Linked DNA regions of Macaca mulatta. The protein of the gene in region 1 purifies or fractionates together with the protein of each later gene. This does not show direct contact. Links are inferred from orthologs where the notes say so. Each region holds a gene or a part of one and is shown in the gene's direction. Other genes may lie near its edges.

Region 1 (4,090 bases):
CTAAAGTTCTAGGATTAAGGTGTGAGGCACCAGGTCCAACAAAATTCATTTTGTTTTATTTTTGTTTGACACAGAGTCTTGCTTCACTGTCCAGGCTGGAGTGCATTGGCATGATCATGGCTCACTGTAGCCTTGACCTCCCAGGCTCAAGCCATCCTCCTACCTGAGCGTCCCGAGTAGCTGGGACTACAGAAGTGTGCCACCACGCCCAGCTAATTTTTTAAATTTTTTGCAGTGACAACCATGTTGCCAGGCTGGTCTTGAACTCTTGAGCTCCGGGGATCCGCCTGCCTCAGCTTCCCTAAGTGCTTGAGCCTGGAAGGTCAAGACTGCAGTGAGCTGTGATCGTGCCACTGCACTCCAGCTTGAGCGGCACAGTGAGACTGTCTCAACAACAACAAAAACCATAACAATAAAGAGACAGTTTTTTTTTATTCGGAATTATACATTCTAGATGTGGAGGGGAAAAATGTATGAGCTCAGTGCAGACACTAAGCTCTCTCCACCCTCTGGAACATCAGCAGGGACCCATGGAAAATGAGAGCTTGCTACATTTCCTGAGATTGAAAAATAGATGCAGGCCGGGCACTGGCTCACGCCTGTAATCTCAGCACTTTGGAAGGCTGAGGTGGATGGATTACCTGAGATCAGGAGTTTGAGACCAGCCTGGCCAACATGGTGAAACCCCATCTCTACTAAAAATACAAAAAAAAAAAAAAAAAAAAAAAGCTGGGTGTGGTGACGGGAGTCTGGAATCCCAGCTGTTCGGGAGGCTGAGACAGGAGCTTCGCTTGAACCTGGGAGGCGGAGGTTGCAGTGAGCTGAGATCGCGCCCCTGCACTCCAGCCTGGGCGACAGAGTGAGACTTGGTCTCCGAAAAAGATGCGACAGAACCTTGAGGCGTACACTGCTCTGTAAATAGGGCAGCGACAGAATGTGTTTGGAGGATGCGCTGAAAGCCCCTCTGTCTTTGATTCAAGTATGAGAGTGCGTCCTGACTAGCCTAGTCTCTTGGCCTTCTGATCCTTCCCTGGGGCCCTAGTGATGGGCATCTTTCTTCCCAGGGGATAGTTCAGCTTCCAAATGTGATGTCGGTATGCTGTGAAGAGAAGGGTTATTTTTTCTAGAGTTTTTTTTTTTCTGGTTAAATCTTGACTAAATGTATATGGGGCGTGAAATCTCCATTTCGGCCAGACACAGTGGTGACCTCCTATAGCCCCAGCTACTCAGGAGTTTGTGGCGAGAGGATCACTTGAACCCTGGAGGTCAAGACCAGCCTGGGTAATACAGTGAGATCCCAATTCTAAAAAAAAATAAAATAAAATCTGTATTTAATTTCCAGTATAGTACATCATTAAATAACAGCCTGCTCTGTTTTTTCCAGGGGTGAGCCCCTCCAGACTCCGAATAGGAGATCAAGAGTTTGATTCATTGCCTGCTTTACTGGAATTCTACAAAATACACTATTTGGACACTACAACGTTGATAGAACCGGTTTCCAGATCCAGGCAGGGTAGTGGAGTGATTCTCAGGCAGGAGGAGGCGGAGTATGTGCGAGCCCTCTTTGACTTTAATGGGAATGATGAGGAAGATCTTCCCTTTAAGAAAGGAGACATCTTGAGAATCCGGGACAAGCCTGAAGAGCAGTGGTGGAATGCGGAGGACAGCGAAGGCAAGAGAGGGATGATTCCAGTCCCTTACGTCGAGAAGTATAGACCTGCCTCCGCCTCAGTATCGGCTCTGATTGGAGGTAACCAGGAGGGTTCCCACCCACAGCCACTGGGTGGGCCGGAGCCTGGGCCCTATGCCCAACCCAGCGTCAACACTCCGCTCCCTAACCTCCAGAATGGGCCCATATATGCCAGGGTTATCCAGAAGCGAGTCCCCAATGCCTACGACAAGACAGCCTTGGCTTTGGAGGTACATAACGTGCACAATGTAGAAAGAAGAGATCTGCTGCAGGGTCTCCTCTCGGTCCTCTTAGAGCTTTGTAGCAATGCTGACTACAGCAGCATTGGGATGTTGTAGATGGCAAAGCTGCTAAGCACTGATTTTGGCATTTAATGTTGGGTTTTCTCTTTTTCATAGAAAACCTGTTTGGGAATGAGTAAGCTTAAAACTGTATAACTGAATGTTCTTAATTGATCTACTAAACACACTTGGACTGCTTTAATAACACCACCTGAATTCACAGGAATTCACCTCAAATGTTTTTCCTCATCCACATCCTCATCTGTTTTCTTGCTTTCTGTTTGTCGTTGTCTAAAAGAAGGTGGGTTCAGATGGATTTGAGTGTAATAAGTGGTCTCTATCAAAGCACTTAAATGGAATTTTCCCGCAGAAACTTGTTTTTGCTTCAGGGGACGTGAAGTTCCTTACCACTAATTGTGTTCATTGAGTAAGAATCCAGGAGGAAGCAGGCATGGTAGAGGTGTGAAGAGACTCACACCCAGAAGTCCTCATTCCGAGGAGTGGCAGGTGCACGGGTCTTTCTAAATCATTTAAGAAGCCAGTTCTTCCTCAGGAGTTAATTTTTGCCTTAACTGGTGAAATACCTTCGGTAGCCCACTTCCTTCTGGCCAGCCATTACATGGTGTTAATTCCTTTATTCCTTTGTTTCTCAGTCACACCTTTATCTCCTTCCTTTCTTCTTCCTTCCTTCCTTTCTCCGTTCCTTTCTTTTCAGAAGAGCTGATGGTTCAGTGTAAAAGCTAGTACAGACTGGGCACAGTGGCTCACACTTGTAATCCTAGTGCTTTGGGAGGCTGAGGCAGGAGGACCACTTGAGACCAGGTGTTCAAGACCAGTCTGGGAAACGTAGTGAGACCTCAGCTTTTTAAACAAAAAGTGGTAAAAAAAAAAAACAAAAACAAAAAACGGCCAGGCATGGTGGCATGCACCTGCAGTCCTGGCTTGACTGAGAAATGGAATGTGTGTTGTCAGGGTTATCACTGCCTCTTGTTCTCATTCTTTGTTTGGAGGAAAATAGATTTCTACCCTCAGGTCTTCCTGTGAGGTGAGATGAGATGACGGTAACATCTGGCATGGTGCTGTGTGTATGATGGATCTGACTCTTTTTTATTTTCTTGTTTTTTCCTCTCTCTTTTTTTTTTTTTATTTTTTCTGGCCTTACTGAGTCACTAGGTGTAACTCTTGATATTTATTCCAGACTTTGTTAGCACTGGGTTGAAGTAAGTATGAAAACATGGATCAAACGCCGGGCGTGTTGGCTTGTACCTGTAATCCCAGCACCTTATGAGGCGGAGGTGGACAGATCAGTTGAGCTCAGGAGTTGGAGACCGGCCTAGGCAGCATGGCAAAATGCCATCTCTACAAAAAATTAGCCAGGCATAGTGGCACATGCCCATGGTCCTAGCTACTCGGGAGGCTGAGGAGAGAGGATCACCTGAGCCTGAAAGGTCTTGGCTACAGTGAGCTGAGATGATGACACTGCCCTCCAGCCTGGGTGACAGACTGAGACTCTGTCTCAAAAAAAGAAAAACCATGGAACAAGCCAGCTGACCCAGGAGAAACCAGTTATCACATGAATTTTGCTTCTATTTGCATTTCCCTTCTCAAAGAGATTTTATCATGCCTGCCTTAATTAGAGGCTTTACTGCTCAAAAAAATGGTTGAGCTTTTCTACCTGCTGTGAAACACAAATCTTATAAATAAAGATTTGAGTAGAAAACTGGTTTATGATTTTAGTAAGTTTTTCTTTTTGATTTGGGTATTGGGTTTTTTTGGATTTTTTTTTTTTCTCTTTGAGACGAAATCTCGCTCCATCGCATGGGCTGGAGTACAGTGGCACGATCTCGGCTCAGTGCAACCTCCGCTTCCCAGGTTCAAGCGATTCCCTTGCCTCAGTCTCCTGAGTAGCTGGGATTACAAGCATACACCACCATGCCCGACTAATTTTTGTAGTTTTAGTAGAGACAGGATTTCACCATGTTGGCCAGGCTGGTCTCGAACTCCTGACCTCAGGTGATTCAACCACCTTGGCCTCCCAAAGTGGTGGGATTACAGGTGTGAGCTGTTGTGCCTGGCCAATTTTTAGAAATGTCTTTATGTTGAGCTAAAACGTATGTAC
Region 2 (4,824 bases), on another chromosome or scaffold:
GTTTCAGGGAGAAACTGCTGAAGCAGCACTCCCAGCTAGCCTCTCAGAAGCCCTGTAGGGCAGTTCTCTCCCACTCCACAGGGCGACTGGTCTGGAGAAAGCAGGCAGGAAGAGCTCAGGTCCGACTTGAAGCTTCTCGCACTGAAGCCTGTGCAGTCAGTTCTGATACCTCCTGTGACTTCTGCTCTGGCGAGGTTCAGGGCTCTAGTAGCAGGAGAGATGATCCTGAATCCTGCTGAAGCTGGAGAGGCCTTGGCAAAATGGCCCATCACATTTAGGCCCTGTGGGCTGAGGTCTCAGCAGTATCAAGGGAGGGGTCCGCTGTATCCCCAGAAGGATCAGGATCATATCCAGGGTGCCCCACATACACCAAACCAGGCAGAGGGCAGCTCAGCTCCTGTCCCATCTGCTTTGGATATCATTACCCAAAGGCAGGTAATCCGAAGAGCCAGCCTCCACTGCCCACAGAGCCAGGCCCAGTTGGGTTGGAGTATAGGTCAAGAGCTGTGGAAGGAGGCAGTCTGTGAGGGACTCATAATTTAGGAGTCCTCACCCCTCAGACTGCTGCAGGACATTGCCAGGCCTCTATTCCCTTCCTCAGAATACAGACTTCATGCTGTCTTCAAATCCCAGGGAGTCTTAGCTATTAGGGCAGTTTCTGCTTCTCCATTTTGGGGACAAACGCCTTACCCAATACAAATCTAGCCCCCCATCCCACAGACTTCTGGATGGTATAAACCTAGTGGCAACGTAGCAACGATAGGCCAGAACCAAACCCAAGATTTGGGTCAGTGCCCTGTTACGGGTTTTAGGACTGGTAAGGACACCACAGCTAAATCTGACGTGTAAAAGGATACCCTTTCCCCGTCCCAGTGCGGGTGGACTGTATCCCCACCTCTTCAGATCCCATAGATTGCCGGGTGACATTGGGCACAGGGCTGGATGGTGTGCTGTTTGAGAGGACAGCATGCTCAGGAGATTTCAATAGGAATGATCTCTAGACTGATGTGTATTTGGGGAAGTGGGGGTGGGGAAGAGGTAGGTGCCTGCTGCCTCAAACCACCTTGTGTAAAATCTGCAATACAGCTTCTTCCATGTACCTGTGCCTGAACTGTCTGCAATAAAGAAGAATTTGTAAACTGTGGTTTCTTTCTTCTAACCTGAGGGTGCCAGGTGGGACAAGGGGATGCTGGGGGACAGTAGGGAACAATGACTGATCATTGTGGTGGGGCCATCTCTGCTCTTGCAATTCCTGAGTTTTATGACCTCGAGGGTCGCCTCAGGCCTTGAGTTATTCCCACCCATTCTCCAAAGGAAACCTGAGGCACCTGCCAATTCAGGATATTCTGGGGGTCTGAAGGACCTTAGCATGGGCGGCTGAGTTGACCCCGTCCTGGGACCATTGGAGCCATGCTCTGGGAGTGGGCAGGGACCTGGCGGCTTCTGAGTCGAGTAGGGTTCTGGGTGGCCCAGTGTGTGGACGTTTACCTCATCCCTGTGGAACTTCCCTGACCTCGCGGGCACAGGGGCGGGGCCGCCGAAGGGGACGGGCTGCGGGAAGGGTTTAGGCTTCCGCCCCCAGCCCGGAACCTTTCTTCTCCGTCCCTGACAGGTTCCGGGAGCCTCGGCTAGTGGGGGCCGGAAGTGGAGGCGGTTGGTGGTGTTGGCGGGGCTCGGGGACGCTGCGCGGGCGGTGGTTTGCGAACTGCGGGTGGACTGAGTGTAGTGACCGGCGTCCTGCTGTCTCGCCCCGTCGCGGGTGGGCGAGGGTGGGTGGTGCGCGGCGGCGGCGGAACGAACGCGGTGCGGGCGGGGCGCCCGCCGCTGGGCTCATGGCCTCCTGCGCGAGCATCGATATCGAGGACGCCACGCAGCACCTGCGGGACATCCTCAAGCTGGACCGACCCGCGGGCGGTGAGCGGGGGTTGCGGGGGTGGGCCCCAGGCGAGCTGACAAAAGGGCGGCGCGCGTCTGAACCGCCCTTGGGGCCCGCAGCTCCCTTAGGACCAGCTTTGGATCCTCCTGGCGGGTAAGGGTGGACGGGGATTGACTGCGCCCCTCGTTTCCTGGCCCCAGGTCTCTAGTGTTCCTGGGACTGGCCTAGCTTCTCTTCCCTTTCGCCATGGTTCAGAGGCCTGGTCTGGGCTCCGTATATGGAATTCTGGGCCTAGGCTTAAGCGCGATGCTGAAGAGCCGCCGGTCCCCGCCATAACTTGCCCTTCTCTCTGGAATAAAGACTCCAGGCCTCCCGTTCTGAAACTGATTTCCAGGAGGAAGGTGTCCAGCCTGAATTCCGTGTTCTTTCTGGGATGAAGGCAAACCACAGACCGCACCACCCTGACTGAATTAGGCTACAAATATCTCCAAGCCCTAATTTCTTCCCATTCATTCATATTTCTCTTTGGCTCTTAATGATACCTCAGAACTAATCTTGCCCCCAAAGATTCCTCAAGACACAGCTAACAGGGTTGTAATATACTGTTGTCATTGAAAGAGAGGAGTGTCTCGATACTGTGATGGGCATGGGAAGGGTGGAGGCTGATGAGTGCAGAGTACAGGTCTGAGAGGGGAGAGTGGGCTAGGTCTGGTAATGTGAACAGGGTCTTGGGTGTCAGGAAAGGCACCCAAGGCATGTATGTAGACGCCACCTATTAGGAAAAGGAAATAGCACGTGTGGAGGCACTAGTTTACTGACAGGTTTAGGGATCTCTGAAGTGGCCGGTGATAATGGTGTGGGTGTACAGTGGAGGACTGATGTTTCCTCAGATCTTGTTCTTACACCTGCTGGGAGGCCCAGACTGGCTGCTTTTGGAAGCAGGCACTGGTGCTCACTAGGGGTGGATTCAGCTAACCCCTACTTTCAGAAAATCCATCTGCTGCCTGAGACCACTGGGGCCTTTGTGCCAGGCCTGGAGTGTGTGCCCTCTTCACTCATGAGTTGGGCGTGGACCTCTTCTGCTGCTCAGCTGCTTTGCAGACTAGACTCTGCAGATATTTGGTAGAGCCTGGCATGGCCAACCATGTACAGCCTGGGCCTGCTTTTTGGTTGTCCTCATGGTACCCTTCATGGAAGGAAGAGTGGTCAGCTTGTCACTGAACAGCTAAAGTGGCTCTGATCCGAATGAAGTGGCCTGCAGGCTTTCCTTATAATTCCTTTGTTTATTGATTGGCACTTGATTCCCTTGTTTGCCAAGCAGCTCTTTCTTGTTTCCTCTCACTGGAGGACCAGGTCAGAACTCAGACTGTTGAGGGCTGGGTGCGGTGTCTCCCGCCTATAATCCCAGCACTTTGGGAGGCCGAGGTGGGTAGATTGCTTGAGGCCAGAAGTTCGAGACCAGCCTGGCCAACATGGTTTCCCAACATGGTGAAACCTCGTCTCTACTAAAAATATAAAAATTGGCCGGGCACAGTGGCTCACGCCTGTAATCTCAGCACTTTGGGAGGCCGAGGTGGGCGGATCACAAGGTCATGAGATCGAGACCATCCTGGCTAACTCGGTGAAACCCCGTCTCTACTAAACATACAAAAAATTAGCTGGGCATGGTGGCGGGCACCTGTAGTCCCAGCTGCTCGGGAGGCTGAGGCAGAAGAATGGTGTGAACCTGGGAGGCGGAGCTTGCAGTGAGCCAAGATCGCGCCACTGCATTCCAGCCTGGGCGACAGAGCAAGACTCCAAAGAAAAAAAAAGCTGGGTATGGTGGCTCACGCCTGTAATCCCAGCACTTTGGGAGGCCGAGGCGCGTGGATCACAAGGTCAGGAGTTCGAGACCAGCCTGGTCAAGATGGTGAAACCCCATCTCTACTAAAAATAAAAAAAAAGTAGCCGGGCATGGTGGCACGTGCCTGTAGTCCCAGCTACTTGGGAGGCTGAGGCAGGAGAATCCCTTGAACCTGGGAGGCGGAGGTTGCTGTGAGCTGAGATCATGCCACTGCACTCTAGCCTGGGCAACAGAGCGAGACTCCATCTAAAAAAAAAAAAAATTAGCTGAGCTGTAATCCCAGCTACTTGGGAGGCTGGTGCAGGAGAACTGCTTGAACCCAGAGGGTGGAGGTTGCAGTGAGCCAGGATCGCGCCAAAAGAACCGAAAGACTGTTGTGACTGGAAACTTGCTATGTTCCTGAATGTGGAGCCCTAGGCTCCTTGCCATTTGGGGATTTTGGAAATGGTGTCTGAGCCTATGAGAGTGTTTGAAACCCAGCCAGTTGCAAAGAACTGAAATGCTGTCTTTCGTTACTCCACACTCTGTCCCATAGTTTTTCTCCTTTTGGTCGAGCTCCTTTATGTCCCTGCATTCTGTGTTTACTTGCCCAAGATAGCTTCTTTGGAGCCATTTCTGTGTGGGGCAGCCCCTTCCACATCTTACCAGTGCCCTTCCATGCCTTAGGAGCCCATCTTCTCTCCAGATCTTGACACTACATTGGTCTAGGCCGTGATCTCTCTCACCCAGATTCTCAACCATTCTGCCTGCTATCTTAATCATCCCACTGGCCAGAACTGACCGCGTCACCTTCCCCTTTGAAACTCTTTATGGTTCTCATGGCCCACAGGGAAGAGTCTAAGTGCCACAGCATCATACCTGATGCCTCTGCAGCTTTGTTTTCCCTCCATCCTTCCTGTGTTTGTGTGTTCTGGCCACACTAACTGCTGTATAAAGTCTTTCCTGACCGTTCCTATGCCCTCACTCAGAGTGCACAGAGTTCTGTAGTAACCCAGGCCTGAGTATTAACTGGCCTCAAAGGGTCCTTGATGGCTTGTACCCCTCCCCCAGGCAGAAGAGCCTCATGCTCATCCTTGGTCCTGCATACGTCAGCGTTTATGGAACG
Region 3 (4,090 bases), on another chromosome or scaffold:
AGACCACTCAGCAAGTAGTCACTCTTATCTAGGAACCTTGAGGATGAAACTTTTCTTTTCCTGAGGGTCGTGAGAAAGCAGTTTCCCTCTCAGATGTCTGGGTATTCTTTTTTTTTTTTTTTTTTTTTTTTTTTTTTGAGAAGGGCTTGCTCTGTCTCCCAGGCTAGAGTGCAGTGGTGCGATCACAGCTCACTGCAGCCTCAATCTACTAGGCTCAGGTGATCCTCTTACCTCAACCTCCTGAGGAGCTGGGACCACAGGTGCGCATCACCACACCTGGCTTTTTTTAATATTTTTGATAGAGATGGGGTTTTGCCATGTCGCCCAGGCTGGTCTCGAACTCCTGGGCTCAAGCAATCCTCCCACCTTGGTCTCTCAAAGTGCTAAGATTACAGGCGTGAGCCACTGCGCCTGGCTCCCTGAGTATCTGCTGAGTCAGACCTTCTCACTGCATCTTCCTAAAGGAATTGGAGATAGAGCTCTTGATATAATAGAATAGCATAGAATTTTGTAGAAATCTCATATTCTGTCATTTTCATGAAGTGTTTCCTACTGTATATCAATTTTATTTTAATATAAGTGATTTTATTCCTCACATTCTTTGTGGAGATGTGGTACTCCAGGAAGATGTCACATGCTTTTTATCTGGAACATAGCTGCCCTCCCACCAGGGCACCAGCTCCCCAGGAGGGGGAGCACAGTCAACAGGGAAACCAAAAGTTCTCCCACTGCACATGGCAGTTCTACCCCCCTCACATTCTGTTATACACAGTACCCAGCACTTTGGGAAGAGGTAAGTGAATTGCTTGAGGCCAGAAGTTCAGTGATCACACCACTACACTCCAACCTGGGTGACAGTACAAGACCCTGTCTCAAAAAAATTAAAACGAGGCTGGGTGCAGTGGCTCACTTCTGTAATTCCAGCACTTTGGGAGGCCAAAGTGGGAGGTTCCCTTGAGCCCAGGATTCATGAGCAGCCTGGGCAACATACGGAGAACCCATTTCTTTAAAAAATAAAAATTAATTAGCTGGGCATGGTGGCACATGCCTGCTATCCCAGCTACTTGGGAGGCTGAGGCGGGAAGATTGCTTGAGCCCTGGAGATCAAGGCTGCAGTGAGCGTGATCATGCCACTGCACTCTAGCCTGGGCAACAGAGTGAAACCCCTTCTCAAAAAAAAAAAGTTACAATAAAAGTATGTCATATCAATACTTAAATTAAGAAAAATAAAACCCATCTTCCTGTAGGTTGGAGGCTGCCGTGTCTGATGGTAGATACTTCTAGTATTCAAAAGGGAACTCTTCATGACTCCCAAGCACCACTTACGCAAAATTTTCATTTCATGCTACACACTATACAGTTTTATTATGTCATTTAATCTCCGCGTTATAAATTAACACACTACAGGCCTCTCAGTTGCTCACGCAGTCACTGCCACAGTTCTGCCAGGCTTCTCCAGCCCACTCGCACAGGCCCTGAAGGGAGCTCAGAAAGCAGCTGGAACTATCAGGGTGATTAAAGGAGAAACCAGGGGACAGAGAGGAAGAGTCACTCCACCCAAAACATTTAAACAGACAGCTTGCTTTTTTTAAAATTGCCAATTAGCTGGGTGCAAAACAAACAACCCATCGCTTAGAAGGTGACACCTCTATTTTCACTTTTCTGTTTGCAAAGAACTGGAAGTTCAACAAATAAATGCTCAAATCAAAACTGATCAAAAATTAAAACTGTTTTAGGAACTACATAGACTTCTCCTAGCCCCAGGCCGATCCTGCTGTGTTTAACCAGCATGTACTGACTTGCTCTTTTGCATGAGGGGACTGACAAATTTGTTTATGCTGCACATTCAGTATGTCGAAGCTGCACATTTTGCTTTACGTCATGTTTCCTAAAAACATTTTTAGACTCTGCTGTCATTCTGCAAGCTGATGTGGGTTGGGAGGGTACCGAGTGCTTGATGTTTTTTGGTGAAGCTGAATTTTGATCCCTACCCATAGTGTTTGCTTTCTGGTGAAAATAACTTGTTGATGCCCAATCACCAATGCGGGGCCACACTGATGATGGGGGGAGAGGAAGGGCCTGTGGTTCCTTAAGAGCACACAGTATACCGGGCACCTGGCAGGCACTCTTCCCGCCCTTCAAGGGTGAGGAAATCAAGGCTCAGCCAGGTTAAGTTACTTGCCCAAGGTCAACCATTTTACAAAGAACCGCTGCTCTTTTTTTCCATTCAGGCCATTCTTTCAATTAAAACCCAGTTTCTTTCTTTAAGGGGAAAAATAAAGTGAGGCGGGTGAAGACCATTTATGACTGCCAGGCGGACAACGATGACGAGCTCACATTCATCGAGGGAGAAGTGATTATCGTCACAGGGGAAGAGGACCAGGAGTGGTGGGTACGTACGAATCCATCCACTTCATTGGTACATTCATACAGCATGCCTTGGCAGGCACCACATGGGAGCCTACAAACAGTGCAGTAAAAGAGGTCCCTTGAGCTGTATCACTCACCCAACAGCCATTGAATGCAGTATTCTCAATTGTATTTTCTGTGTCACACACTATTACATGCTAGAAAAACAGCCATGGAGCTGGCCGGGCACGGTGGCTCACACCTGTAACTCCAGCACTTTGGGAGGCCAAGGCAGATGGATCACGAGGTCAGGAGTTCGAGACCAGCCTGGCCAGCAGGTGAAACCCCGTCTCTACTAAAAATAAAAAAAATTCGCCAGGCATGATGGCGTGCGCCCGTAGTCCCAGCTACTCGGGAGGCCAAGGCAGGAGAATCACTTGAACCCGGGAGGCAGAGGTTGCACTACGCTACAGCCTGGGCAACAGAGTAAGACTCCGTCTGAAAAAAAAAAAAAACAGCCATGGGGCTTTGAAGACAGGTCAAGAGAATTCACATTTGTATGTGCTTTACCCACGGTATCATGTAACCTTGTAAATTGTAGGCATTTTCTGATTTTTCAGATAAAAAACTAAAGCAGAAAAAAGTTGAGCATGTTGCCTGTGCTCCCTCAACCAGTAAGCAGGCTAAGTCAAGATTCTGGATCGGCCCTGACCCCAGAGCCTATATGCTTTGCTCACCATTCCACACTGTCCCCAGGCTGGGAATCAGAAGGCCGGAGTTCCTGCTCAGGCTAAGCAGTTGACAAGTCCTCAGGCTCCATTCTTAATCCAGTCTGCAGTTCTTTCTTTGTCAAATAGGCCAAGACACCTTCTCCATGTAATGTTAGGAAAAGATTAAATGAAAATATCTATGAAAACTCCTTTTACATTAAAACCTGCAGCCCAGGCATCAGGAGGGAAAGACATCAGCATCCTCATAGGCCTTGCTGGGTACTCAGGCTATCAGTGACCTGTGAGGGCAGTCCGCACATCTGTTAATTTTCAGGTTGCCAGGGAGTAAGTCCCGATGGGAACGGCTAGTCCAAGGTACAGTGAACAAGCCCCCTCTTCTGCTTTCCTTGTTGATCATTTCCTGCCATCAGGCTGAAAATTCCCCTTCCTTGGCAGCCTGAGCCCCCTACTGCCAAGAGGGATTCAGTTTTGTCTGCCAGGAAGGGACCTGAGGCTCGCCATTGAGCCAGCAGTACCTAAGAATGCCCAGAAATACATGTGTATATAATGTGTGCACACACCCGTATGCATGGACACACATTCACCTTGACTTTTCTTCCTTCAGGCCTAAACAGTGACGTCAGATTTTTTTTTTTTTTTTTTTTTTTTGAGACGGAGCCTCGCTCTGTCGCCCAGGCTAGAGTGCAGTGGCTGGATCTCAGCTCACTGCAAGCTCCGCCTCCCGGGTTTATGCTATTCTCCTGCCTCAGCCTCCTAAGTAGCTGGGACTACAGGCGCCCGCCACCTCGCCCAGCTAGTTTTTTTTTTTTTTTTTGTATTTTTAGTAGAGACGGGGTTTCACCATGTTAGCCAGGATGGTCTCGATCTCCTGACCTCGTGATCCGCCCGTCTCGGCCTCCCAAAGTGCTGGGATTACAGGCTTGAGCCACCGCGCCCGGCCCAGATTCTTAATCACAGCTCTAAGGATTTTGTTTGGACTCAACTGGGGCAATTTTGCCCTCCAGTACATT
Region 4 (4,090 bases), on another chromosome or scaffold:
AAGCTGCAGTGAGCTGTGATCAAGCCACTGCACTCCAGCCTGGATGACAGAGTGAGACCCTGTCTCAAAAAAAGAAAAAATTAAAAATTAAAAAATAGAGTGTAGGGTAAAAATGCATCAGTGTCTAGTGTTAGCTCTGCTTTAATCCAGGTCAACATAAAAGAACAAGCCCTGCCACATCTGTGACATATGCCTGTGTGTTGCATGAAATCAGAAATGTGACCACAGAGACAGCAGTGATTCTGTGAAATCAAGAACACCAGACTTCAAGTCAGAAGCATTCTAGTCTAAATCACCTGCTGAGTGAGTGTGTGATTTTGGTGAAATCACGTAATCACCGAGTCTTGGTTTTCTGATCCGTAATTTAGAAAAATAATGCCTACATCACAGGAAAGTTTTGAGAATTAAGTAAATAGCATATAGGAGTGCTTTATAAACTGTAAGGTAGTTTATAGATGTTAACATACCTCAGAGCATACTTACAGTAGAATATAAAATCCTTGTGAGTGCATATAACGTCAGTGCCATTCTTTTCTATGGGATATTTCCCCAAACTCAGAATATATAAAATTACATCATCCTCTCCTTCCAACCCGGTGAGATTTCTTTATCTCTCTTGTTTCTGTCAAGGGTACCACTGTTCTTCCTACTCCAAGACCACTGACTTTTTTTTTTTTTTTTAAGAAATGGGGTCTTGCTCTGTCATCCAGGCTGAAACGCAGTGGCGTAATCACAGCTGCCTGCAGCCTTGACCTCCCAGGCTCAGGCAGTTCTCCTGCCTCAGCCTGCTGAGGAGGTGGGGTTACAGCTGTGTACCACCACGCCTAGCTAATGTTTTTATTTTTTCTTAGATATGGGATCTCACTGTATTGCCCAGGCTCAAAACCAGTGATCTTTGAATCAGCATCAACTCCCCTATCTTCCTCGCCCTTCTCCCAACACCAAAGAGACAAACACTGAATGCTTTTACTTCTCCCTCTCCTGCTGTTCCTTTTCCTTCTCCTTCTCCTGCTGTTCCTTTTCCTTCTCCTGCGCAGTCCAGCCTATGAGCCTTCAGTTGGACATAGATGCCACTGTTGGCTTACATTGTCTACACTTCTTCTTTCATCATGCGGCTCCTGCCTTCCAGAACCTCCAGTGAACATTCCGAGTCTTTGAAACCTCTACCTGCCATGCAAGATCATTCATATTCTGGCTCATTCTTCCAGGCCAGGCTCATGTCTTCTCCCAGGACTCTGTGCTTTCCACCCCTGGGCCTGACCCTTTCCACGTACCCGCCTGGCCCTTCTCACTCCTTCTCTTTACACTTCCTTTTCCCATTCATCTGTCTATGCCTGTCTAAGGCCCGTGTCTTCTTTGAAGCCTTCTGTTTCCAGCCAAGCTAATTCTTCCTGACCTGCTTTGATTCCTTTTATAGTTATCGTCTGCATCATACAACTAGTGTTGTATTACACTCTGATCCTTTGCCCACCGTTGTTTCACCTAAATGATGGAATTTCAACAGGCTTGAGTCCCATAGATTTTTCCTAGCTTGGAAAAGTTTTATCATGTATTCCAAAAGATCCAGTAGTTTTTACTCCCTTCATTCAGTATTTGCCTGAAAAGTGTAATTGCCTTCACGGTACTTACACTATCAGGTTTACTTATTTATTTACTTGCTTGTTTTTTATTCTCTCCTCTAGAAGGTAATTCTGTGAGAGCAGGATCACCATTGTATTCCTGTTGTCTGACTGATCTTCTGTTTGCACAACACATATTTGTTATGTGAATGGACAAGTGAGTTTCAAAGACATTTTACAAGACAACCTGGGCCCAAGCCTTGGTTAAAAATGAATCATGTGTGGGCTACCTGTGCAAACTGCTCATTTCGAACATGGCTATGTTTGCACTTGCCCAGGCAGTCACACCTGTGACACAAATTACTCCCATGCCTGCGGCCTAGGAAATCTCTTGGGGAAAAAAATTTGATTAAAGAGATTATATTTGCAGTCTAGAGTGGAGAAAATAGTATTTAATGCGGTGATTTTCTCTCAGACTTTCAGGATTGGCTGGGGACTGGTACATTGCTTCTGTTCTCTGTGACTCTGTTTCTGTGCCAGAAGGCACGTTCCTTCTCCTCATTCTCTGAGGCTGTGCTGTTTAAATGCTGGTCCACAAACTGGATCATGATGAGATCGACAGAGTTTATACCTCAATGTAAATTAATGCACTTCCTTCCTTCCTTAAGAATGTCTTGCCATGAAAATATCAGCATGCTTGGTGATGTCATTGATTTACTTGAGGGCACAAGTTCCTTATTTCCTTGCAGATGGGGGTCCAGACTGTTTGCAGACTGGCCATGGTCCTTGGGCCACACCAGAAGCGGCACCGGGCTAAGTATTTTTTATGCCTGTGATTTAACTTCTCAAATAAACCGCAGCTCTTATAAGATGTGACAGTTGCTGTCAGGCACGGACTAGATATTCAATGAGAACTTGATGGTGTGGATTGAACCTTGGCTGGGGAGCGCAATGGCTCCCTCAGTACCCGGAACTCCAGTTGCCTCTTCACTCGTCCTATGTAATGACTTCCCTTGCTGTCTCTCACCTGCAGAATAAAATCTTCATCTACCGGGGAAAGGAGTATGAGAGGCGAGAGGACTTCAGCCTGAGGTTGCTAACCCAGTTCCCCAATGCGGAGAAGATGACCAGCACCACGCCTCCTGGGGAAGACATCAAGTCCTCCCCCAAGCAGTGTATCCTTCCCGTGGGGAATATGGCCCCGAGACTCTTATGGCTGTGCACAGCCCCTGCTAAGCCAGAGAAGATGGGAGCTACAGTCCCTTCTCTGCAGACAGACGATCCTCTGAAGCGTTCTGACACAGTTTCCCATTCCATGTAAAATCTTTGGGACCCTCATAGCATTAGCTGGTGGTGATGATGTAACAAAACAGGAGAGGTAGGCCGGGCGCGGTGGCTCAAGCCTGTAATCCCAGCACTTTGGGAGGCCGAGACGGGCGGATCACGAGGTCAGGAGATCGAGACCATCCTGGCTAACATGGTGAAACCCCGTCTCTACTAAAAAATACAAAAAACTAGCCGGGCGCGGTGGCGGGCGCCTGTAGTCCCAGCTACTCGGGAGGCTGAGGCCGGAGAATGGCGTGAACCCGGGAGGCGGAGCTTGCAGTGAGCTGAGATCCAGCCACTGCACTCCAGCCTGGGCGACAGAGCGAGAGTCCGTCTCAAAAAAAAAAAAAAAAAAAAAAAAAAAAAACAGGAGAGGTAATAGACAAGTGACGGATATGAAATATACTTCCTAGCCAGATGGGGTGCTTAAGTGGAACATAGACTTCCTATTCTGAATTCTGGATTCTGTTGTAGACTTTGAAACGGTATCTCTGTCCTGGTGGGTTGGGGAGCTAAGACTTTCTAAGACACGATCATTAAATCAGAGCAGGAGCACTTACCCTTGAGCTGCTTTTGAAGCCTAACTTGACCACTTACCAGCTGTGTGATGTTGGATTTTAACCTCTCTTATCCTCAGATTCTCCATCTGTGAAAAGAGAATAATCATTTCCCTCTCGTAGAGTTGTTGTGTGGGTTAGAGATAACATATTCAAAATACCTAGCACTGTGCCCAACTGTGGCACTGGATAAACAGATGGGATCCAAAGATACAAGCAATTCCTGTTGCCTGGGCTCTGAGTCTGGTGATTTCAGGGGATGCTTGTCCCAAGAAATTGTTTGAATCCATTTCTAAGCACCTGTTTCCTGATATTGCATTGACGTCTATTTCCCTATGGCAAGGGTTGTTTGCCAGTGTCTGACCAAAAAAAAAAAAAAAAAAAAGAAGACCCTAGGATTCATTGTAATCACTGAATAAGGCATTTCGGTGATACACAAAGGAACTTCATTTTCAATGTGGTCCTGGGATTTGGGTCAAAGGGAGTGATTGGTGCTGGTGGCATTTCCGGCTGTGAAGCAGGAAGAACAGGCCTTTGGTGTCTGACAACTTCGCGGCCCCAGCCCCTCTCTTTTCCTTAACAAGTTCCTCAGACATGCAGTGCTTCACCGTAAAGCCAGTGATGAGCTTGCCGCCCAGCTACAAGGAT
Region 5 (4,090 bases), on another chromosome or scaffold:
GGACCTTCCCAACTACTGAATAGAGGGCAGATCCCTTCCATTGCACAGCCCTCCAGAGTGGAGAATGCGCACAACCCGTGGCAATGGGGCTGGCACAGGGGGACGTGAGTGGTGCAAGTCAGCCTCAAAGAAATGAAAAGCTCGAGGCTGAATGATCAAGTCCACGTCGCTAGAGAAGAAAACAGAGGGCAAAAGTCCAGACAACCTCAGCCGAAAATCCCACGAATACGTCATGGTATGAAATAAAGTCACGAACCTGCCCCATCCAATCCGCAATCCCTTCTTCCATAAATGAGCCCCACCTCAATGACATTAAGTGCATCCAAACATCTTCACAAAGCACTAGAGATCACTTTTAGTGTTCCGAGGGCTTGTGCTGAATCAACAACGTCCCCGACTTCTCTGTGCTCTGGGAAGGGGGCAGGCATGCGGGAATGGCTGCCCGCGTGCTGGGAAACTTTACTAATGCCAAGAAATGAAATCTTCCCAGCCTTTGAAAGGCCTCCAAGAATGTCAGCACGTACCGCCTGCCCACTCTCTGCTGAATGCCTACTTTGGCTGTCTGCTTAGTACTGAATGTGCCAGACAGGCCTTCATACAAAGACGGAGAGTGTGTTGGACCCATGAAAGGGGAAGGCACAGCTTTTCCAATGTGAATGGCGAGATTCAAGAAGTAGGTGACGAAAGGGGAGGGCGAGGAGGGGCCCTCAGGAAAGGTATGCATAAAAGACCGAAAGAGAAGAGTTGGCATCCTCCTACGTGTTAATAAATTCGTTGTCAAAGCTGGAGATGTAGATGACTGCCGGCCTGTGCTCCATGCTTGATGGCATGTCTGTATGCCTTGCTTGTAGATTCTCTCTGGATCGGAGGCTCCTGTCATCTGAGAACAAGAATTTCTAAGCCCTGCCAAGGCATATATATGTGGACTTCTGTTGATTTTTCAACTCCAAATATAAATGCTATTTGTACTGTGTTATTTGGGATTTTTCTTTTACTCTTTTCACCTCCAGTATAGAACAATATTGAGAAATGTTCATTGTTGTACATCTGAAGATCTTGGGGTTTTTTTTTCCTTAAGCTCACTTTAAAAAAGGAAGAAAAACATTTTGAATAGTGAACCATGCTCTAACTCTGTAACAGTGCTACTCATAATTCCTTGGCACGGCATCTCCTGCTAGAGGAAAGAACTCTTCTGGTGTTTTGAGCTTTTCCAAGGAGGCAGTCTGATGTCACTGGTGGCAGATGCAGTGTGTATGTATCTGTCTTTTGTCTGCACCATCTGTTTTTCTCCTTACAGTCTATTGTTCAGATTTATGCTTCTCTCTTTCCAGGAAGTGTGCCTTTCCATAAGAGCACAGGCCTTAGGTGCTAAAGGGATTGACCCAATATTCTAACATGGTTTCCTTCTCTTCCTTCTTTCCTAGAATCTTATGGCAAGGGCCTTATATGACAATGTCCCAGAGTGTGCCGAGGAACTGGCCTTTCGCAAGGGAGACATCCTGACCGTCATAGAGCAGAATACAGGGGGACTGGAAGGATGGTGGCTGTGCTCCTTACATGGTCGACAAGGCATTGTCCCAGGCAACCGGGTGAAGCTTCTGATTGGTCCTGTGCAGGAGACCACCTCCAGTCACGACCAGCCTGCCTCTGGACTGATGCAGCAGACCTTTGGCCAACAGAAGCTCTATCAAGTGCCAAACCCACAGGCTGCTCCCCGAGACACCATCTACCAAGTGCCACCTTCCTACCAAAATCAGGGAATTTACCAAGTCCCCACTGGCCATGGCACCCAAGAACAAGAGGTATATCAGGTGCCACCATCAGTGCAGAGAAGCATTGGGGGAACCAGTGGGCCCCACGTGGGTAAAAAGGTGAGTAAGTCACTAACTAAATCTTTGTTCCTACTTATTTTTTTTTCCCATTGCACTTGGAGCATTTGGAAATGTTCCCAAAATAATAACTTGAAGCTGCCAAGAAGTAGATATAACCAATACCTTAGCTCAGGTATCATGTATGCATGATTTTGCCATTCATCCATTATTCAGCAAAACCTCTTTGAACTACCACGTGCTGAGTATGGTTGATTTCCAGCCCTCCTAAGTTCCTGTGTCATCCTGGGTTACATGGGTTGTTAAACTGTTTCTCTCCATCTTTCTCACACATTAGCTTCTAAGCCTTCATTCTGTGCTCAAATAGTTTCCTATCTTTTCTGTTTCTTCATGGAGTGGAACAGACACCAAATCTCATACAAGCCTGATGATGCAACAAGGATCCTCCCTTGGCCAAAAGCTGAATCATGACCTCGGTGGCCTGGCTGAACAAGGAACCCACCCAAAGTAGTGAGAGTGAGGAAACTGGGAGTAGGTCATGCTGACCAACTCATTCTGTAGAGCTGTCAGCTTAGTTTGACTCATTTAAAATGCATAGATACTAGTGGAATTGGAATGAAGCTGTCCTCCTGTCCTTCAAGTCATTCTTATAATAATGCCTGAGGCAGTGGGTGAAAACAGTGGAACTTGGATATTTAAGAAGAAATTAATTTAAAAATACAGTGTGGGGGGCTCTGCAACACCCTGTATAATCCCAAATACTTTAGCAATTTGAGGTCAATAGAAATTCACTAATTGAACAATGAATGTTGAGCACCTAATATATTTTTGATGCTTGTGATACAGTGATTAATTAAAGATAAACAAAGCCCTGGTGATGCTTACATTGCCGTGGGGGAGACGGAAGCAACCAAGAGAATGCTAGGTGGGGACACGTGCTATCAGGAAAATAATGTCAGTGGACTGATCGGGGTAATATCCACAACCAACATGATGCTTATGTGAACATCACAAGGGAGGGATTTCCTCTTTCATTTACTGGCAAATTCCAATGGGTCCTGCAAGGTTTGGTATTAGGAATGAACCAATTTAACTGGGTAAGAAGATATCCCTGAATTACAAGAGGAAAGATGCAATTACATAACCAGAAAGAGCTTGTTGACCCTTAGAACACTAGCTATAGATCTGCCCTGTCCCAAGTAAATCTAATATGAAGTCTGATCTTACAAACCTCTGTAAATTAGGGAGTATCTATTTGATGCTATTAGAATCCTCGGTTGAAAAAACAAAGGATTCCTTTAAACAACGAAAGCACGAATGCATTTTTGGGTACATGGAGAGAGGCAGCCTAGAGACCCAGGATCAGGATAGTGCCGAAAACCCTTGGTGTTTGGCAGGGGATGTGCCAGGGCCACCCTCCTGCCCTCCCCATCCTGGCCATGTCACCACCCCAGACCCTGACTGTGCGGGTGGATTCCTTTAAACAACCAAAGCACTAATGCATTTTTGAATCACCTTTTATATAAAAAGCATGTTTTACAAAATACTTCTCAAGAGCACACATGTGGCATGAGCTGAGTGTATGTTCCTTAAGAGGGATTCCTCAAGGGTGGTGCACAGCTTTTAGACTTGTACTGCCCATGACAACGATGCCGGCCTAGAGGTGATAAACTGACCTGTGGCTTTTCAGTCTTCCTTGTCCTGGGAATTGTAGATTCAAAGGGAAAACGAAACCTGGCCTCTATCTCCAGAGGGGAAAAAAACAGTTGAAAGGTGTAACTATAAATAAATAACTTCTCTCATTCTTAGTCCTGGTTGTTTGCACCTTAAAAATAGCTCTCCCACATCTGAGCCAGTGAGGCAGATGGGGAGGCCAGAACAGGAAATGCTTGGCGGAGAGGTGGTGGGCTCTAAACTTTCATCACGGTTGACTTTGGCAGGAAGGTAGTGTGTTTTCCTTTTTAGACCCAACCTTTTCAGCTCCAAGTGGGAGAAGCCTAAGCCTTCAGACTTCTTCCCCTTGTGTCTGCTGGGACTGCCCTGCAGGCTTTCCCCATGGCTCCCTGTCCTTCCAGAGGGCAGAAATTTGGACTCATCTTCCCTTGGATTGATGTCAAAGGGCTTGGGTGCTGGGGTGACCCTCAGGCACTCACATTCCATGTTTTGTTTTACTTTAAGTCTACACTCAGTAGAACATTTTCTGTTTAGCAAAAGGTAGATGAGTCCTGCAGGAGGAAATCAGCTTCTGAAAATGCCCTGTG
Region 6 (4,640 bases), on another chromosome or scaffold:
AAAATCCTCTGGTTGGCTGATTTGTTGCACTGTTCTGGGTTCGTATTTTCCTTCTCTTTAACTTCATCCTAGTTTGCCCACTTATTTTTATCTTGTTTTAGAGTATGTGTTTTCTGTATGCTGCCTGAAATTCCCTGGAGTAATGCTACTATAAATATGTAAGAATAAACATACTTCAGACTAGATAAAGGATCAATGCTTATAGGGCCAGAGGAAAAAAGTCCCAAATGAATCTATGACAGTAAACAAGTAGTAAGATACCAATAGAACATTTGAAGAGATTTTGAGTCATCGAAGCCAAAAGTATGTGCCCACCAAAACAAGTGCCAAGAATCTTTGAAAGAAGGAACTGTTCTTCAACAATTTTTTCAATGCAGCAAACACATAGGCTTTGTCCATGGAGCATGTAAGTCTGGGCTTACTTATGTTCCCCAAATAAGTGTCCTTTGTGTGTGGAGCACAAGAAAATACATATATGCCCTGTCCTGTTAAGGTGCGAATTTAATTTCTACATTACACAATTATCAACAATCAGGAGTATATTTCTCAAGAACAGAATTAAAAATTGGATGTTCAAAGTCACATGCCAACATCTCCAACTTGCTCTTTTGTGATGTTTCGGTCACTAAATGCAGTGGCTGAGTGTTATCTGGCTTTTCTGTTCAAATTCTCTGTGAGGCTCTAGAAATAACTTAGCCAGTATAATGTAACACTGGCAACTTAATTTTCTACCTTCAGAACAAGACTGGAACTGAAACTGCAAACAGCTTGTGAAATACCAGCCAAATTACTTCCCCGAACTCCTGTTCCATATATGCTGTGCATTAAGTATTTTAAGTATTTTAAGACCTCTTATATTCGATAACCCCCTTTACAATCCTGTAAAACGCTTTATAAACACTTTCCTGTGTGTCAGATGCAAAATCTTACCCTCTTCAAGCTGCAGATAAGGACATTGAGATGTTGCCAAATACGCTGTTTTGTCCCAGAGCACATACTGAGGAAGTGGTAGAACCAGAACCAGTCTGTGACCCCCGACTTTGTTTTACTTTTTCGGAACTCCTGATCTGTTAAAGGTGCAATACCAGCGATAAGACACTGCGTGTGGCCAACAGGGACAAAGGCCACTGAGCAGTCCTAGGAATTCAGACTTTCAGAAATGTCTCAGAAGAACTAAGTAGAAGACAGGTTGTGCAGGTGTGCAGTGCAGTCTCAAACTGGTACCACCGGGAATGGTTTGCAAAACAGGAAGGTGCAGTAGGGTGTGCCGGCACTTAGTTAACCTGGCACTCCCCCACCTCCTTCCCTGGCGCCCCGCTGCCAGGTTACTTCTGGCCCGGTGCCCTTAACGTATCTTTTCCGTGTTTAACTTGAGGGCTACGTTCCCATCGCCCTTCTTCCTCTACCCGTTACCCTACAGGCCTACCTGACAAATGTGGGGACGGTTTAGCCAAGGCCCGTTGGCCCACGAATGCCCAGGGGTGTCCCTTATTTCTGAGAGTGGGAGGGAGACAGCCCAGGCCCTGCAATGACGCGCCCGGGTAGGGGGGCGCGGTGGCGCGGTCGGGAGGGTGTCGTGTCTTCAGCAGGCCTCAGGGCGGCACTCTGGTTCCGCGGCCGGAGCGCTCGGGCGGGCCGCTGGGCGCCGACCCATGCTGGCTGGGAACGTGTCTCCCGGTGACGCAGCCCCGGGTGGGGAACGTGGTGCGGCGGCTGCGACCGTACGCGCCTCCGCCGCCCCCGAGAGGACGCGCGGTGCAGCGGCTGAGTGGCGGCGGCGGTGGTGGCGGCAAACCCGGAGGTGCGGGTCGGCGCGGGGGAGGAGGACGCGGGTGCGGTCTAGGAAGTAGGTCCCGGGCTCCGCGCTCAACAAAGAGCGGGGCCGCCCCCATCAGGTACCGAGCCGGCCCTGGGCCCCGGCGGGCGGGGAGGCCCCGTCGGGCAGTTCGCGGGCGGCCGGGGAGGGGGAAGGGCTGCAGCCCGAACAGGGATACTGGGCGCCAGGGGCCCTTCCAGGCCCATTTCTCTTCCACGGCCGCTGGCGGAACGGAAGGGAAGGGGCCGGGCCGCGAGGGGTCGTAGCCCGCGACGCCGACCCGTCTTTGCTCGTCCCTCGTGCAGGCGGAGCTGCCGGCGAAGGCTCCATGTTGGGAAGCGGCGCCGTTCGTGCTCGTTAGCGGGAATCGGGGAGCCGCCGGCTGAGCCGGCGGGGGCCGGGCCCTAAGCGAAGATGGAGGCCCCGCTGCGGCCTGCCGCGGACATCCTGAGGCGGAACCCGCAGCAGGACTACGAGCTTGTCCAGAGGGTCGGCAGCGGCACCTACGGGGACGTCTACAAGGTAAGTGAGGCTGGCCCTGCTTTTTTTTCCTGCGGTCGACTGGGTCCCGGGAATGGGACGAGTATTGGGGCGAAGTATTGGGGCGAGAGGAGGATGCTTTTATTGTTGCCTCTAGGGGGGAAAGCGGCCGAGGTCCCTTTTACTCGGTTCTGAGCAACCTCGACTCGTAGCTTATGCTAATCTCTACCAACAAGCAGAACTAACCACACAGTTGCAAACCGCTGTTGCACTTTTTTGTGGTTTAAAGGCTTTTTAATAGGGCTTGTTTATGGTATTGAAGGGAATTTGAATCTGCTTGTGGAATTACACCGAAGGATGCCCTAGTGTTAGCATGGAAAAATGCTTCATGGAAGATAGACAGGAAAAAATATTGACATTCAGACATTTGCATTTTTTTAAAAAAATTTTGTTTTAATGGATGAGTTTGGCTTAAAAAGTCATATAAAACCCTGTCTCTGAGCTTTAACTGTAAACAAACTAATATTGGTGACATGTATGCAAACATTATCCCATATAAAAAGATGCTTTTCCTGGTGGAAGTTTGATCGTTTGTTTTTGGTTGACGATAAAAATGTGATATTAACTTGCTGGGTTTTGTTTTACTTTAGCGGTTCCTTTCAGGGATTTCTAACATCCCATAACCATGAGTGGATATGAGCTGATGTCTTTGTATTGTACTCTTTTGTAATACTTAAGACAAACGATGAGGGTGAGTTACTCCTAATTTAGGATTTTAAAAAGCATTGTAGAGAAGCAAACCCAATTCCCCAAATCCGCTGTGTTATTGAATGGTTCAGAGGAAAGAGATTGAGATTGCCTTATGCTTTTTGTTGTGTGTTCCAAAAAGGGAATAGCGTTGTTTATTGGATTTGATCATAATACATATCCCATTGTGCCAAACAACACTTCTGCATATCCGCTGAGATGGTTTTGTGTCATTTGGGTAATTAACCAGTAGATTCCTCTGGAGTTATGTTGTTGTTTTGTACAGGTGGTTCCCCTCTTTCTACTTACTTTTAATTTCCTCCCTATTAATATTACCATTTCAAGGTGGTGGTATTACAGCCCTAGCACTGTTCGATTCTACTGAGATAAACTGTAATGGATAGGCTTTTTATTCCTTAAACAAGCATTCGAGTCTTCTGTACCAGTCACTGCTAGAGGTACTGAGGTGATGAATTCTGAGCAAGGCTCCGGCTCTTACCTTTTGAATACCTTTGAACTCAACGTGTATGATTGTAACAATCCTCCTCTTCTTTATGTAAAATTAGAAGTAGTTAACTTAGTTGTTTATCCAAGGATTAGCCATTTTGTGGAATGCTCTTTAGAAAATTGAAATTCCTGTTTCCTTTCTCAGTCTCATTTTTTAGTCATCTTTGTCTTATGATTCACTGTGTATTAGACCAGTTCAGTTTAGTTCATGTTAATTTACAATAGTATAAATTCTACTTGTTGTATATAGTCTCTTCTCCCTACTACAATAAAGTTTCAGGAGTGTTTTCCCCACAAAGATCTTAAGACGTGCACCCTTTTTCTTCATAGATATGGTAACTAAAGCAACTATCTGGAGCAGGATTTTATTCATGCCAGGGAAAAAGCAAAGATTATATTTAAGGGACAGCTAATGCCTGCCTTTTACCCTGGTGCCTTCCTGCCCTAGTCTCTCTTCTGCAGTTCCCAAACAGAGGATCAAAAACTGAATATTCATCACCCTCTACCTTCACCCCTTAACACATGGTCCCCTACTCTCACAATATTGCTTCCTCACACTTACATGTATATTCGTTGCACACTAGGCCAGCCTCTGATTCTAAACATCCTTAAGGCATTCGTAGCTCCTTGTCTTTTGTTTTCCTTTGTTCTAATTACTTGGAATCACCTTCCACCCCTCCATTTCCACCTGTTGCTATAATACCTGTCCATGAAAACCTTACCCAAATGCTCCTGGACAAGACCTAGCCCTTCCCCCTTGTTTTTCAGCCTCATCTACCACTCTCCTTAGTCATTCTGCTCTAGTCACACCGGCCTGCTTGCTGCTTCTTAAACATAATAAGCATCTCCCCATCTTTGGGTCCTTGTTCTTGCTATTTCCTCTCTTCGTAATGTCTCCCCCTTCCCCCCACCCCCTACTGTATGGCTTGCTCCCTTCCTCCTTTTTTTCACACCCTCTCAAATCTTTTTTTCTACTTAAATTTTGCTTTGTACTTACCACCAACAAAATGTTTTACTTATTTTTTTTTCTTGTTTTTTATTTATCTTGATTTACTAAAATACTCCATGATGGCAGGGATTTTAATCTCTT
Region 7 (4,090 bases), on another chromosome or scaffold:
TTTTAAATAAAAATTACTAAAAATTGCTTTTTTAAAATTTGCTTTTCTGTATTATTGTAATAAACACGCAGTGTAAACACTACAGAGAGTGCATGTTGCTGGAAGCCTTTGATATTTGTAATATGTGGCAGTGTGCCCCTGCTGAGGAGGGACAGCAGAGAATGACCCTCAGTTAACAGGGCTGTGGAGCGGACTCCAGGCCAGACTATTATGATCCATGAACTAGTATTAGAGACTTGAGTCTTCCACTGTCAGCCTCTCTATAGCATGAGGATAGCCCATTTGGGGGTGGTTTTACTTTTTGGTTTGATAACCCCTTAGAGTAGAAATACAATCATCACAGTATATAGAACTCTTGGCTAACTTTTTTTGATCAAAAAATTCTTCCTTGATCCATAACCACTTAATAAAGTTCTTTAGGAAAGGTCTTATTGCCTCAATAGCGGGTGTTAAATGAGGCCTGTTAAGAGAAAGCATAAAACTCAGACAACCGCCATTGAAATGATGGTTTTGTTCTGACTAGGTCAGACCAGTGACTCTCTCAACCCTACCAGTGATCCATGAGTGCCAGTGTTGTGACCATCACAATGACATTCACTGAAAAGTTAGGAAAACCCACAGTTTACCTGGCCAATGTTATATCCCTCTCCTTCCCTGTGAGATGTTGACACAAAGGGTGATGGGTGATGAAATAAGGTATTCTGGTCTCCATTATGAGTCTGTTGGCCCGCTCTATCAGTCTGGGCTACAAACCTCTACAGAAGTAAGTGAAAAATTATTTCATTGTTGTTCTGATGAGGTGCAAGGTTATAGTGGAAAGAGCAGGCTTTGGCATTACACAAACTTAGGTTTGCAAACATAACCCTGGGCTTTTTTTCTTTTTTAAATTCTTAGATCCTTAATCTACTTTGAAAGGTTAATGTGAGGACTAAAAATGGTACACAGAAAGTGCTCACCACAGCCTGGAATGTGTAGACAACCATGAGAAACGGTTACCACCATTATTATTGTCACTTAACATGGGGCAAGCCTTGCTAACAACTTTACTATATGATCGTTTGTCCCTAACCAGTCACCTTGTAGTTAATCCTCCTGATACATCATAAACATGGTTATGAGAGTGTGAGTTTTAAATTGTTTTATTATCTTTCAGATCTGTAAGAGCAAAGCTAAAGAATCTCAGCAGTATTATCACAGCTTGGCTGTCCGGCAGAGTCTGGCTGTCCATTTTAACATTCAGCAGGACTGTGGTCATTTCCTTGCTGAAGTCCCTAACCGTCTGCTTCCCTGGGAGGATCCTGATGACCCTGAAAAGGAAGAGGATGACATGGAAGAGACTGAAGAAGAAGCCAAAGGAGAAACGGATGGGAAAAACCCAAAGCCCTGTTCTGAAGCAGCATCATCCCAGAAAGACAGCCAGGGAGTCATGAGCAAGAAGCAGAGGAGCCATGTTGTAGTCATCACCAGGGAAGTTCCATGTCTCACTGTGGCTGATTTTGTGCGAGACTCTCTAGCCCAGCATGGGAAAAGCCCTGATTTGTATGAGAGGCAGGTGTGTCTGCTGCTCTTACAGCTATGCTCTGGTCTTGAGCACCTCAAACCCTACCATGTCACTCACTGCGATCTACGCCTAGAGAACCTGCTACTTGTCCACTACCAGCCTGGGGGCACTGCCCAAGGCTTTGGGCCTGCGGAGCCCAGCCCCACCTCATCTTATCCCACTAGGCTTATAGTGAGCAACTTCTCTCAGGCCAAACAGAAGAGCCATCTGGTGGACCCCGAGATCCTCCGGGACCAGTCTCGCCTTGCCCCAGAGATCATAACAGCTACCCAGTATAAAAAGTGTGATGAGTTCCAGACAGGCATCCTTATCTATGAGATGCTGCACCTACCCAACCCCTTTGATGAGAACCCAGAGCTGAAGGAGAGGGAATACACACGAGCAGACCTGCCTCGCATCCCGCTCCGCTCCCCCTACTCCCGGGGTCTGCAGCAGCTGGCCAGCTGCCTCCTGAATCCCAACCCTTCTGAGCGGATCCTCATTTCAGACGCCAAAGGCATCCTCCAGTGTCTGCTCTGGGGCCCCCGCGAAGATCTCTTCCAGACTTTCACCGCCTGCCCTAGCCTAGTGCAGAGGAACACCCTGCTCCAAAACTGGCTAGACATCAAGCGAACACTGCTCATGATCAAGTTTGCTGAGAAGTCCCTGGACAGGGAAGGTGGGATCAGCCTTGAGGACTGGCTTTGTGCTCAGTATTTGGCTTTTGCCACTACAGACTCCCTCAGTTGTATTGTGAAAATTCTACAGCACCGTTAATGTGTACCTGGATGCTGCTTTTACCACATCTTCACCTTCTTCATGTCACCCATGCACTTCCCCTTCCTAGTGCTCACTCCAAATTCAAGGAAAGAAGAAAGACAAACCTCTATCCCTGTCCATGAACAAGTAGGTCCATTCAGAAAGGTTATCCACTGCCCCAAATTGAATGAGAAGCTGAGTCTGTCTTAACTTTACAGAAATTCAGCTGCACAAACTTGCGGTTGCCTTCCTTTGAAACACCTTCTATCCTAATAGAAGAAAATGCAGGTAAAAATGAAAATCCATATTCTTGAAGGGACAGCTTCTTTGGTATGAACTCAGTGAGCCAGTGAGCTGTGTCCATTTCTTCTATAATTCTGGATATCACCTATCTTTTTAGCACCGAGTATTTATTCTCACTAGCAGTAGACAGACTTAACCAGTCTCTACCATGACCCAGTAGACTCTGACAACAGACTCTTCCTTTAAGGTGTCAACAACTGACTTACTAGGCAGAACTGCCATCTTTAGCATCAGCCCAGTTTTGGTTACCAGGGACTATATCCTTTGTTCCAGGAGAGAGTAGAAAGAAAAGGAGAGATCCCATCCTTGGGTCATCAACCCATTTTCATTGCCATTATCTGTAAGTATGTGCACTGCATGGAGGACAGCCCTAATAGTCTCCCCTCTGCTGCCACTGCCTGATTCTCTACTCTGTCCCCACTTGCCAGTGATGTTTGGATTTATCAGCCACTTGTGGCCCATTACAGAGCTGACCCAAGGTGGTGTCACCAATGCCTCAGCAGGGTGGAGTGCAGTTCAGAGCTTATAAATAGCTGGCAGGGCATGAGGAGATGATTTTCTTGCATGTGCAATTCTCTAGGGGCCATCAGGGAACAGAGTTTAAAGTACCCTTTGATTACTGTCAGAACTGTCAGCATTTGCAGTTTTCCCCTGAGCAGTAATTGGCCAGCTCCCTTCTATCAGTAGCCAGTGTTAACTAGTTTAGCAAATGCTGTAAACAATTGCCCTGAATGAAATAGCTGTCGGTGGAGCTCTAAGATCTTACAGGGCACAGTGAGGTGGGCTGTTGGGATGGCCGTAGGCAGGGGAGGGGAAGAAGGCCACTGATGAGACTGCTGACCTCCTTAGAATGTTGACCTCTTTTAGAGAGACTGCCTCCCAGTGTAAGTGGCTCATTGTTCCTTCTGACTCTCTCTAAAATGGCTCTGGAGGACAGCTCACGAGAATTCTGATTGCTGAGGTGGGTGATTGAGAGCTGTTCACCATGTGTGCAGCCTGTGCTCCCCTCCTATGGATATATGTGCAATTTTTGTATGTATTTTTTTAGCTGTATATTACAGTGTTTATGTTGCAACTTCACCTGAAGCGAGTCTACAGAAACCTTCCCCCTTCTTCCCTTGGCACATATTTGCGCTAAGAGATGAGCGTTCCTTCCACTGGGGGGTGTGTGTGTGTGTGTGTGTGTTTGTGTGTGTGTATACACATGTGCACCTGTGCTTGTTTTATTCAAAACTGTGAGTATGTGTTTACTTTGACCTTGAAATCCCAAGAGTCACTCGAACAATGTGTGTGTACACTTGTGTGCCCATGTGTGCGTGCACACGCATGCTGGAAGTAGAGGCCACGCCTCTAGAGAAGCAACCTGTGGCAGGGTTGACAGACATGTTCTCTGTGCCTAGTGAGTGAGTGAGCCCTGAGGCCCCTCATCTACCAGTGCAGAGTTTCCTTAAAGCCAAGACTGATTGTGCAGTATTACTTACATAGCAC

Evidence for each region.
Region 2: the proteins of CRK (region 1) and EDC4 purify together in Homo sapiens (affinity purification with mass spectrometry; 3 studies listed by BioGRID and IntAct, with this or other methods). This does not show direct contact. The link is inferred for Macaca mulatta from reciprocal best matches to the Homo sapiens genes CRK and EDC4.
Region 3: the proteins of CRK (region 1) and ASAP1 purify together in Homo sapiens (affinity purification with mass spectrometry; 3 studies listed by BioGRID and IntAct, with this or other methods). This does not show direct contact. The link is inferred for Macaca mulatta from reciprocal best matches to the Homo sapiens genes CRK and ASAP1.
Region 4: the proteins of CRK (region 1) and DOCK5 purify together in Homo sapiens (affinity purification with mass spectrometry; 3 studies listed by BioGRID and IntAct, with this or other methods). This does not show direct contact. The link is inferred for Macaca mulatta from reciprocal best matches to the Homo sapiens genes CRK and DOCK5.
Region 5: the proteins of CRK (region 1) and NEDD9 purify together in Homo sapiens (affinity purification with western blotting; 3 studies listed by BioGRID). This does not show direct contact. The link is inferred for Macaca mulatta from reciprocal best matches to the Homo sapiens genes CRK and NEDD9.
Region 6: the proteins of CRK (region 1) and MAP4K5 purify together in Homo sapiens (affinity purification with mass spectrometry; 4 studies listed by BioGRID and IntAct, with this or other methods). This does not show direct contact. The link is inferred for Macaca mulatta from reciprocal best matches to the Homo sapiens genes CRK and MAP4K5.
Region 7: the proteins of CRK (region 1) and PEAK1 purify together in Homo sapiens (affinity purification with mass spectrometry; 4 studies listed by BioGRID and IntAct, with this or other methods). This does not show direct contact. The link is inferred for Macaca mulatta from reciprocal best matches to the Homo sapiens genes CRK and PEAK1.

The regions. Positions count from the first base shown.
Region 1 is NC_133421.1:2,983,271-2,987,360, reverse strand, and holds part of CRK (adapter molecule crk), read left to right. Parts: intron 1-1,384; coding exon 1,385-1,920; intron 1,921-4,090. UniProt on the Homo sapiens protein: Involved in cell branching and adhesion mediated by BCAR1-CRK-RAPGEF1 signaling and activation of RAP1.
Region 2 is NC_133425.1:63,447,005-63,451,828, forward strand, and holds the start of EDC4 (enhancer of mRNA-decapping protein 4), read left to right. Parts: upstream 1-1,630; 5' UTR 1,631-1,832; coding exon 1,833-1,914; exon of another isoform or gene 1,915-1,933; intron 1,934-4,769; exon of another isoform or gene 4,770-4,824. UniProt on the Homo sapiens protein: In the process of mRNA degradation, seems to play a role in mRNA decapping. Component of a complex containing DCP2 and DCP1A which functions in decapping of ARE-containing mRNAs. Promotes complex formation between DCP1A and DCP2.
Region 3 is NC_133413.1:140,447,594-140,451,683, reverse strand, and holds part of ASAP1 (arf-GAP with SH3 domain, ANK repeat and PH domain-containing protein 1), read left to right. Parts: intron 1-2,269; coding exon 2,270-2,392; intron 2,393-4,090. UniProt on the Homo sapiens protein: Possesses phosphatidylinositol 4,5-bisphosphate-dependent GTPase-activating protein activity for ARF1 (ADP ribosylation factor 1) and ARF5 and a lesser activity towards ARF6.
Region 4 is NC_133413.1:27,133,541-27,137,630, forward strand, and holds part of DOCK5 (dedicator of cytokinesis protein 5), read left to right. Parts: intron 1-2,592; coding exon 2,593-2,734; intron 2,735-4,034; coding exon 4,035-4,090. UniProt on the Homo sapiens protein: Guanine nucleotide exchange factor (GEF) for Rho and Rac. GEF proteins activate small GTPases by exchanging bound GDP for free GTP. Along with DOCK1, mediates CRK/CRKL regulation of epithelial and endothelial cell spreading and migration on type IV collagen.
Region 5 is NC_133409.1:171,910,263-171,914,352, forward strand, and holds part of NEDD9 (enhancer of filamentation 1), read left to right. Parts: exon of another isoform or gene 1-1,409; intron 1,410-1,424; coding exon 1,425-1,871; intron 1,872-4,090. UniProt on the Homo sapiens protein: Scaffolding protein which plays a central coordinating role for tyrosine-kinase-based signaling related to cell adhesion. As a focal adhesion protein, plays a role in embryonic fibroblast migration.
Region 6 is NC_133412.1:123,763,229-123,767,868, reverse strand, and holds the start of MAP4K5 (mitogen-activated protein kinase kinase kinase kinase 5), read left to right. Parts: upstream 1-1,721; 5' UTR 1,722-1,846; exon of another isoform or gene 1,847-1,895; intron 1,896-2,121; 5' UTR 2,122-2,230; coding exon 2,231-2,338; intron 2,339-4,640. UniProt on the Homo sapiens protein: May play a role in the response to environmental stress. Appears to act upstream of the JUN N-terminal pathway.
Region 7 is NC_133412.1:55,255,978-55,260,067, reverse strand, and holds part of PEAK1 (inactive tyrosine-protein kinase PEAK1), read left to right. Parts: intron 1-1,153; coding exon 1,154-2,317; 3' UTR 2,318-4,090. UniProt on the Homo sapiens protein: Probable catalytically inactive kinase. Scaffolding protein that regulates the cytoskeleton to control cell spreading and migration by modulating focal adhesion dynamics. Acts as a scaffold for mediating EGFR signaling.